2 linked regions of the Rhinolophus ferrumequinum genome follow. The protein of the gene in region 1 binds, or shares a complex with, the protein of each later gene. Links are inferred from orthologs where the notes say so. Each region holds a gene or a part of one and is shown on either strand. Other genes may lie near its edges.

What was found.
Region 2: GTF2F2 (region 1) and POLR2G share a complex: the UniProt entries of both Homo sapiens proteins name them as parts of the TBP-based Pol II pre-initiation complex. The link is inferred for Rhinolophus ferrumequinum from reciprocal best matches to the Homo sapiens genes GTF2F2 and POLR2G.

Annotation. Positions count from the first base shown.
Region 1 is NC_046287.1:5,793,956-5,797,704, forward strand, and holds the start of GTF2F2 (general transcription factor IIF subunit 2), read right to left. Parts: upstream 2,323-3,749; 5' UTR 2,148-2,322; coding exon 2,082-2,147; intron 1-2,081. UniProt on the Homo sapiens protein: TFIIF is a general transcription initiation factor that binds to RNA polymerase II and helps to recruit it to the initiation complex in collaboration with TFIIB.
Region 2 is NC_046294.1:8,066,444-8,070,192, forward strand, and holds the start of POLR2G (DNA-directed RNA polymerase II subunit RPB7), read right to left. Parts: upstream 2,701-3,749; 5' UTR 2,576-2,700; coding exon 2,564-2,575; intron 2,443-2,563; coding exon 2,333-2,442; intron 1,072-2,332; coding exon 912-1,071; intron 332-911; coding exon 281-331; intron 177-280; coding exon 111-176; intron 8-110; coding exon 1-7. UniProt on the Homo sapiens protein: Core component of RNA polymerase II (Pol II), a DNA-dependent RNA polymerase which synthesizes mRNA precursors and many functional non-coding RNAs using the four ribonucleoside triphosphates as substrates.

The sequences.
Region 1 (3,749 bases):
AAAAGTTGTCAAATAAAGGTGGAACAAGAATGGATTTTGGAACAGAAAGTATTTGCTAGCAATTCTCGTCCTCTTTCAGAGATAAGGCTGTCATTGGACAAGAACAGACAAGAAAGTCCTTTCACACCCTGGAAAGGTTTGCAAACCTGTGATTCTGACACATAAGATTAGAAACAGAAATACTACAGCCAAGTTGATACCAGGAAACAATGATATTGCAAACAATAAATAACGAAACATGACAACTATCTTTGTAAAACAAGAACAGTTGAGTTCTTTTTAGAGATAAAATATATTCAAATAGCCATACATGAGAGATCACTAAAACTTGTGAACTTCATTTGAGATTCATTACATTCTTTCACCTTCACATTTAGTCAATCACCAAGTCTTAACAACTTACTAAAAACATTTCCCTAACTCCTCAGACTTCATTATCACAAACCAGTGATCCTGTGATAATTTTCTAATTTTGACTCTGGTTAGATTCCCCTCAAACTTTTTCTTCCTGAAATAATCATTTGCACCGCTGCATTATTCAAAACCCTCCAAAAGGGTCCTCACTTCCTAGAGACTAAAGACAGCCCCATTTCACAATACAGCAATATGAGTATGTGGTCCCCCCTTTTTTACGCAGACTCTCTGCTCTAGGCATAATACATAATAATCTCCTCTTTGTTTCCCAGGACACACCATGTTAACATGCATTTTCAGTCTTGCGTTTCTGTTCCACTCTCCATGGTACACTACGCTATGGCTCTGTCCACCCATCCGAATCCTGGAAGGTAAACATTTATGGAGCGTTTACTGTGCTCCAATCATAAGTGCATCACCTCAAGTTCCAAAGTTCCACCATATTTTCAAGCTCTTTCAGTCTGCAAGGCAGTTCTCCTTAATGATTCTCCTCCACTTAGCATGCAGTAGGAGAGAGAAACGCTCATTTACTCCATCTTTTTAAGGCATACTGATATAGCTGTGACAAGTCAAACGAGTGCCAGCGACTAAGGCTGGGTTGAAGAGTAAGAGATGCTTCATTCATCACATTATCTGTTGAGCAATTACCAGGTGCCAAACACAATTCTGGGTGTGACAGGCAAAGATCCTACTCTCACGGGATGTGATTGTGCATGCCCGCGCTGGGGAGAGGGAGGTAACCGACACTGAACACATCACCACAGCAGGACTTCACACTGAAAAGCGCTTTGCAGACTATATAACACAGGTTTGGCGTGCTAGCGAATGACATGAGCTATTTTAAAGAGGTGGACAGGGAGGGCCCCTCAGAGTCAATTCATGAGAATTCAGCCATGTGATAAAAAAAAAAGTTTTTAAAAATTTAACTAACCAAAGGTCCCTACATTTTCCTTTAAGTTCAAAGATTCATAATCACATCTGATTATGTATCTTATGAAACTCTCCTAAGAGACAACACTCCCCAATATGAAAAAGTAAAGCTGGGCTAAGGGCTGATCAAGATCTGGTGTCTTTACAAAACACCGTTCTGACGGTCAGTTTCAGGAGCCCCGTCGTGCTCTGAAGGAACTCTCCGGCCCCGCGGCGTGAGCTCAGCACGCTCCGCTCGCCCGAGAACTCCCTGAAGGGCCATCACCCTAAGAGGACACTTTTTAAGGGTACGCGGAGATCAGTGTTCCTTTCTGGCCGAGAAAATGGCACAGGCAGCAGCAGCAGACATGCTCCGCTTCCTGTACAGGTTCACGATGATGACCAGTTTCACCAGGAGAAGACGCAGAAATTCTTCAGTCTGGGGTAAAATGCACCGCGCGAATCGGGGACACCGAGACCGGGCCCCGGGAAAACCAGGTCGTGGGGAATGGAGACCCGTTCCCGGCAGGTTCGGACTCCTAATTGGCTGAAGGACAGACACTGTGGGTCCCTAATTGCCTCGTCTGCAAACGAGCGCAACAATGAGTCCTGCCTCTCAAGACACGGGAAGCTCTAAGGAGATGACCGTGGAGAACTTTAAAAGGTGAACGGCCGGCGTGGGACCGTCTCGACTCGCTGAAACTACTGACAACATAAAGTACGAGGAGGAGCGCAAGCGGGAGTCGCGCGGACAGTACCTTGACCAGCCAAACTCCGGTGTTCTGTTTGGCGCCGGTCAGGTCCAGGTCCCCACGCTCGGCCATGGGTCTGTCGCCAGAGGAGGCGTGCGACCCAGAGCAGCGGCTTCGGGAGCTGGAGAGCGTCCGGAGCCCGGGGCGAGCCGCGGCGGGAGGCCCCCGGGAAAGTGCCGGCGTCCTCGGGCCAGGAAGCTGGGAACCCCCGGAAAGAGGAACACGCCGCCGGCAGCCCGCAACTGCGCCTGCGCGCTGCCACCGTCACTACGGCGCGCGGGCGCAGACAAACTTCCTGCTTCGGCCGCTGTGGGGAGTGGGCGTGGCTACTGGTGCCGACGGCGTCCGAGTGATTAAAACGTGGGATGCCCTGGGCCAAAACGTCAGCAATACGTTAAAAGACTAGGGCAGCAGAACTGAAGAAAGTGTCGACACAGAAAAATGGGGTTCAAAGAGACAAAGGCTGTCAGTATATGTCCAACCGTGGCCGAGGAGAGGCAGCATTAGGAGGAGAGTGTTGGGATAATAAACAGAGTAAGTGAATGTGGGCACGGGTTGGACCGAGTAGCTCTGGAGATACTGAAAACATGCTGTTTCTAAAGCTTAAAAAAAAAAAAAAAAGGCAGTGTCTCAACTGAGAGGCTGCCCTGAGCACCTCTGATTAAGCAAACCGAGCACACCCCTTCGGTCTCCAAAACCCAGGGTCCCTGTAATTTAGTCAGTGACAGTGGACGTGAAAGAGGGAAACCTGGTTGTTAAACTCTCCTGCTTAAACAGTATTCTTGCTTCTAGAATAAAATTCAATTCTCTCTACACGGGCCCTCTCAATTTGATCCCTGCCAGTCAATGCACCCGCCCCACATCCAACCGCACTGAACCCATCAGACCGCCCCAAACATGTCAGAATCTAACTCAGTTATTTCAGGGCCTCTGCACATTCGATCCTCTTTACTCGCAGGCCCTATTCTTCACTTAGCCTCACTCTCCCCCACCCCCTGACCCCCCCTACTTAGGTTTCGAGTCTAATAGAAATATCACTTCCTACGAGACTTTTTATTAACTCCCCCAGAGGAAGTTCGCTTTGCTTCACATATCACAGTGTGTGACACTTCCCATGACTCTTTATAATATACGTGTTTGCATGCTGCCTTTGCTTTCTAGACTGTAAGCTCCTCCTATGCAGAAATAGGGCTTTTTTCATCTTAGACATCCACAACATCTAGCAACATCTATTGTCAGATTTCAATAGGCTTTGGCTCAATGAACATTCACCAAAGAGAAATAAATAGTAAGATATTGTAAGAATGGCAACTAATATATTGAATCACGCATCCGATCTATGCACATAATTAAAGAGATTCCATGTCTGTGAGGGTAAAGGAAAAGCCATCCTGTCTCTGAAATCAGCTGGGAAAACTAATAGGAAAGATGGAAGACCAGGCATGCATTGAAAAGGAAGGTTGCATTTTTCTTTTAACTTTTATTTTTATTTAAGTGTGTTTTTCCAGGACCCGTCAGCTCCAAGTCAAGTAGTTGTTTCAATCTAGTTGTGGAGGGTGCCGCTCACAGTGGCCCATGTGGGGACCGAACCGGCAACCTTGTTTTTAAAAGCACCACGCTCTGCTGAGCTAACTGGCTACCCCAGAAAGGTTGCATTTTTGTGTCACAGCTTGG
Region 2 (3,749 bases), on another chromosome or scaffold:
CAATGTCCTGGGAGATGGGAACAGTATACTCAGACACCCGCCAGCCAATATTCTCCCTCAGAGCAGCTAGTTCCCTCCTCCCTCTCACTGACTTCTTCCTACCCACTCACCTCATCCACTGTCTTGTAACATGGTGGGTTGGAGTTAGGATCAAACTCCATCTCTGATGGGATGGACTTGAAAGGAAAATGATAATGGGTCAGCACTTTAAATGGATGCTCCAGTAGATGGTCAGGAATGAGTGTCTCTCCTTGGCCCCACCCACAATGCCCAGACTTACATGTCGAGAGATGAAGCAGGACATAGGTCCAATTTCTGTGAAGAGTCCAACCTAGAAGGAAAATGAGTGACCCTTGCTCTTTCTTTTGTTACCCAAAGTCTTCTAAGCTTCCCACCTGTATCTGATTTCTAATTATTTTCTCCATGTTTGAAACCACTCTGAATTATAGCATTTGTTTTCATTTCCCATTTTTCAAGTTTCATTTTAAGTTTAGCAAATATGGTGAAGTAGTAAAGAGCTGAGACCTGGGACTCCTGTCAAATCCTGTCAGTCCAGGATTTGAACACTTGTTGGTCATGTGACACCGGCCACTAGACTTAACTTCTCTCAGTTTAAGCTTCTACAAAAAAGGATAAAAGCACCCACCTTATAGAGTCGCTGTAAGGCTTTATACATGACCTGGCCTGCAATAACTACTCAATCAACAGAGGCTACTATTGTTATGACTATTAATATGGACTTACATGCCCTGAGTGAGGCAGGGCGAAATTATTACACCTTTTGACAGGTGAGGGAACTGAAGCACAAAAAAATGACTTAGCCAAAGGACATAGACTTAGCAAGTGGAGTTGGGACCTATCCCCCATCTTCTGAGAGATCACCCCCCTGCCTCCTCTATCTGTTGTCTCACCTTGTTGACCTGAGTGACAACAGCGTCCACGACTTCCCCCTTAAAGGGCCGGAAAACAATGGCCTTGTACTTCACTGGATAAAGGACAAAACCTCGGCCTGGCTGGATCACACCAGCACCAATATTGTCAATGGTGGTGACAGCAATTACAAAGCCATACCTGTGAGGAGGATGAGAACAAAAGGGACTGTATGTGGAAGAGCTTCTAAAACCATCTGCAGGGGCAGCCTGGGGGGGAGGGCAGCTCAGTTGGTTAGAGCGCGAGCTCTGGGCAACGGGGCAGCCGGTTGGATTCCCACACGGGCCAGCGAGCTGCGCCCTCCGCAACTAGAATGAAGTCAATGAGCTGCCGCTCAGCTCCCGGGTGGCCAGATGGCTCAGGTGGTTGGAGCGCGGGCTCTCAACCACAAGGTTACTGGTTTGACTCCTCGACTCCCGCAAGGGATGGTGGGCTGCGCCCCCTGCAACTAACAACAGCAACCGGACCTGTGTGAGCTGCGCCCTCCACCACTAAGATTCAAAGGACAACTTGACTTGGAAAAGTCTCGGAAGTACATACTATTCCCCAATAAAAAATAAGTAAATAAATAAATAAAGCCATCTGCAACAAGACTCAGTGAACCTGGGGGTCGCGGGCCAGTACAAAGAGGAAGCAGATGGCATCCCTGACGCTAGAGAGCCTAACGACCAAGAAGGAAGACAGGATGATCAGTATATATAACGCCCAACACTGCTCTCCTAATTTCACAATACATGTTCAATAAGGCTGCAGTCCTTGAGCTAAGAGACCTCAGTCTTTGAGATCCTCAGAATCACCTGGGAAGAACTTATTAAAATGCAGATTCCCAGGCCCGTCCCCAGAGTCCTGATTCTGCGGGGAGGGGATGAGCCTCAGGAAATTTCACGTTCAAGAGATACCACAGGTTATTCTGATGATGGCGGCCCAAGTAGTCTGCAGCCCTGGTCTCATCCCAGCTCATTAACACCAGTGTGAGCGACCTCTGTGCGTAGCCCAGAGATGTGTCATGCCAGTCCCTGGGCATGGAGATAGAGAAAACCAGGAGAATCACAGACAGAGCAGACACAGGAACAATGATTGGACTGTGGGCTCCATGACGGCTGGCCTCATTCTATATCGTTCCCAGGGCCCAACACAGGCCCTGGCACACAGCAGGAGCTTTAGAAACGTGTGCAGAGTAAGTGAATGACCAATCTAAGCTGAGGGAAGTAAATCTTGAGATCCAGCTTTGCAGAGGGCGCCATGGGAACCCAAAACAGGAAGCAACAGACTGCTTGGGGCGCCTACGAGTGTGTGAGAGGGTTCCCCAGAGTAATTGGCAGGACCTTGCAGAATGAGTAGGAGTTGGGAAGGGGTTGCCTTGTATGCATAGATCAGGTGGAACAGAGAGCACGGCACTCACTTGCCGGTGCAGGTCCCCTCTACCTCCGTAAAGAGCTTCTGTTTCACCGTGTTGAGCAGGTTGGGGCCGAAGTAGCGCGGGTGCAGCAGGATCTCGTGCTCCAGGGATATCTGTGGGGAAAGTGGCATGGAGACCGGGCAAGGCGCAACAGGAAGATGCGGCAACTCTTCCCGGCGCCCCGCTTCGTCCTCTCTCGACCCTGCCCTCGCCGCCACCCCGTGCCCTGCTCACATGGTAGAACATCTTCCCGGAGAAGGAAGGAGAGCAGCCGAGTCCACACCTTCGCGGGAAGCGGTATCTCCAGCTCAACCGGAAACACAATCTTTCGCTGCAACCCCGCTTCCCCACCAGAGGGAGCTAAGAGGGCGGGACTCCGCCCTTTCCACGGACCCGATTGGGCCTCACTGTGGTGGGCGGGGAATCCAGGAAGCTCGGCCCTCCACCCCGTCCACCAGCGATCAAAATCCGCTCTCTTAAATTAACAGTCCCTGGCCCAGAATACATGCTCAATAAGTACTTTTAAACGGAATTAATTAATTAATGAAAGGTGGCATAAATAAAGCTCTTTAGCAGAGTGCATTCATTTACCACTCCAGGTAGATGGTATCAAAATTGAGTTAAATTGTAGGACACCCAGCTGGTGTCAGAATTGCTTGGATGGAGGGGTTGGGGGTGGCGGGGAGCACCTTGTAATTGGAGTCAGAATTCTTAGTAATAAATACTTAAAACTGATCACTTCCTAATCATTTTACTACAGTTTGCCATTGTCAATACTCTTGAGGTTATTTATACCTATTTTGTCTGTGTGGTGTAAATATTATATAATTGTATATGTAGGTATAAGAGTTCCAGTTGCTCTGATATCCTCACTAGCCCTTGGTATTGTCAGCAGTTTGTTCATTTGTTTATTTGTTTTTGTTTATTTAACTATCCTAATGACTGTGTAGTAGTATCTCATTGTGGTTTTAGTTTTCATTTCCGTAATGACTAATGACGTTGAACATCTTTTCATGTGCATATTTGCCAAGAGTGATGGTTTCAAAACTGAAATCAAATCATGTCACCCCCCGACTTAGAACCCAATGGCTACCCAGAGCACTAGAATAAAATCACTGTGACCTACCAGGCAGGGACCAGATCCAGCCAACTCCTTTTTCTGCCTCTCTTCCTTTTGCTTTCTCCACTCCAGCCACATTGCCCTCCTCTCCCACCTCAGGACCTACACACTTACTATTTCTCCTGCCTAAAATGCTCTTAGCTCTGATACCCACCTGCTGGGGGCGGAAGGGGGCTCCTCATCCTTCAGGTATAAGCTCAGTATCACCACCACCAAGAAGCCTTCCATGACTACCCTGACTCAAGTAGCCACACCCCAGTCATTCCTTTATTGTATTGCCTTGTTTCATTTTCTTCCTTG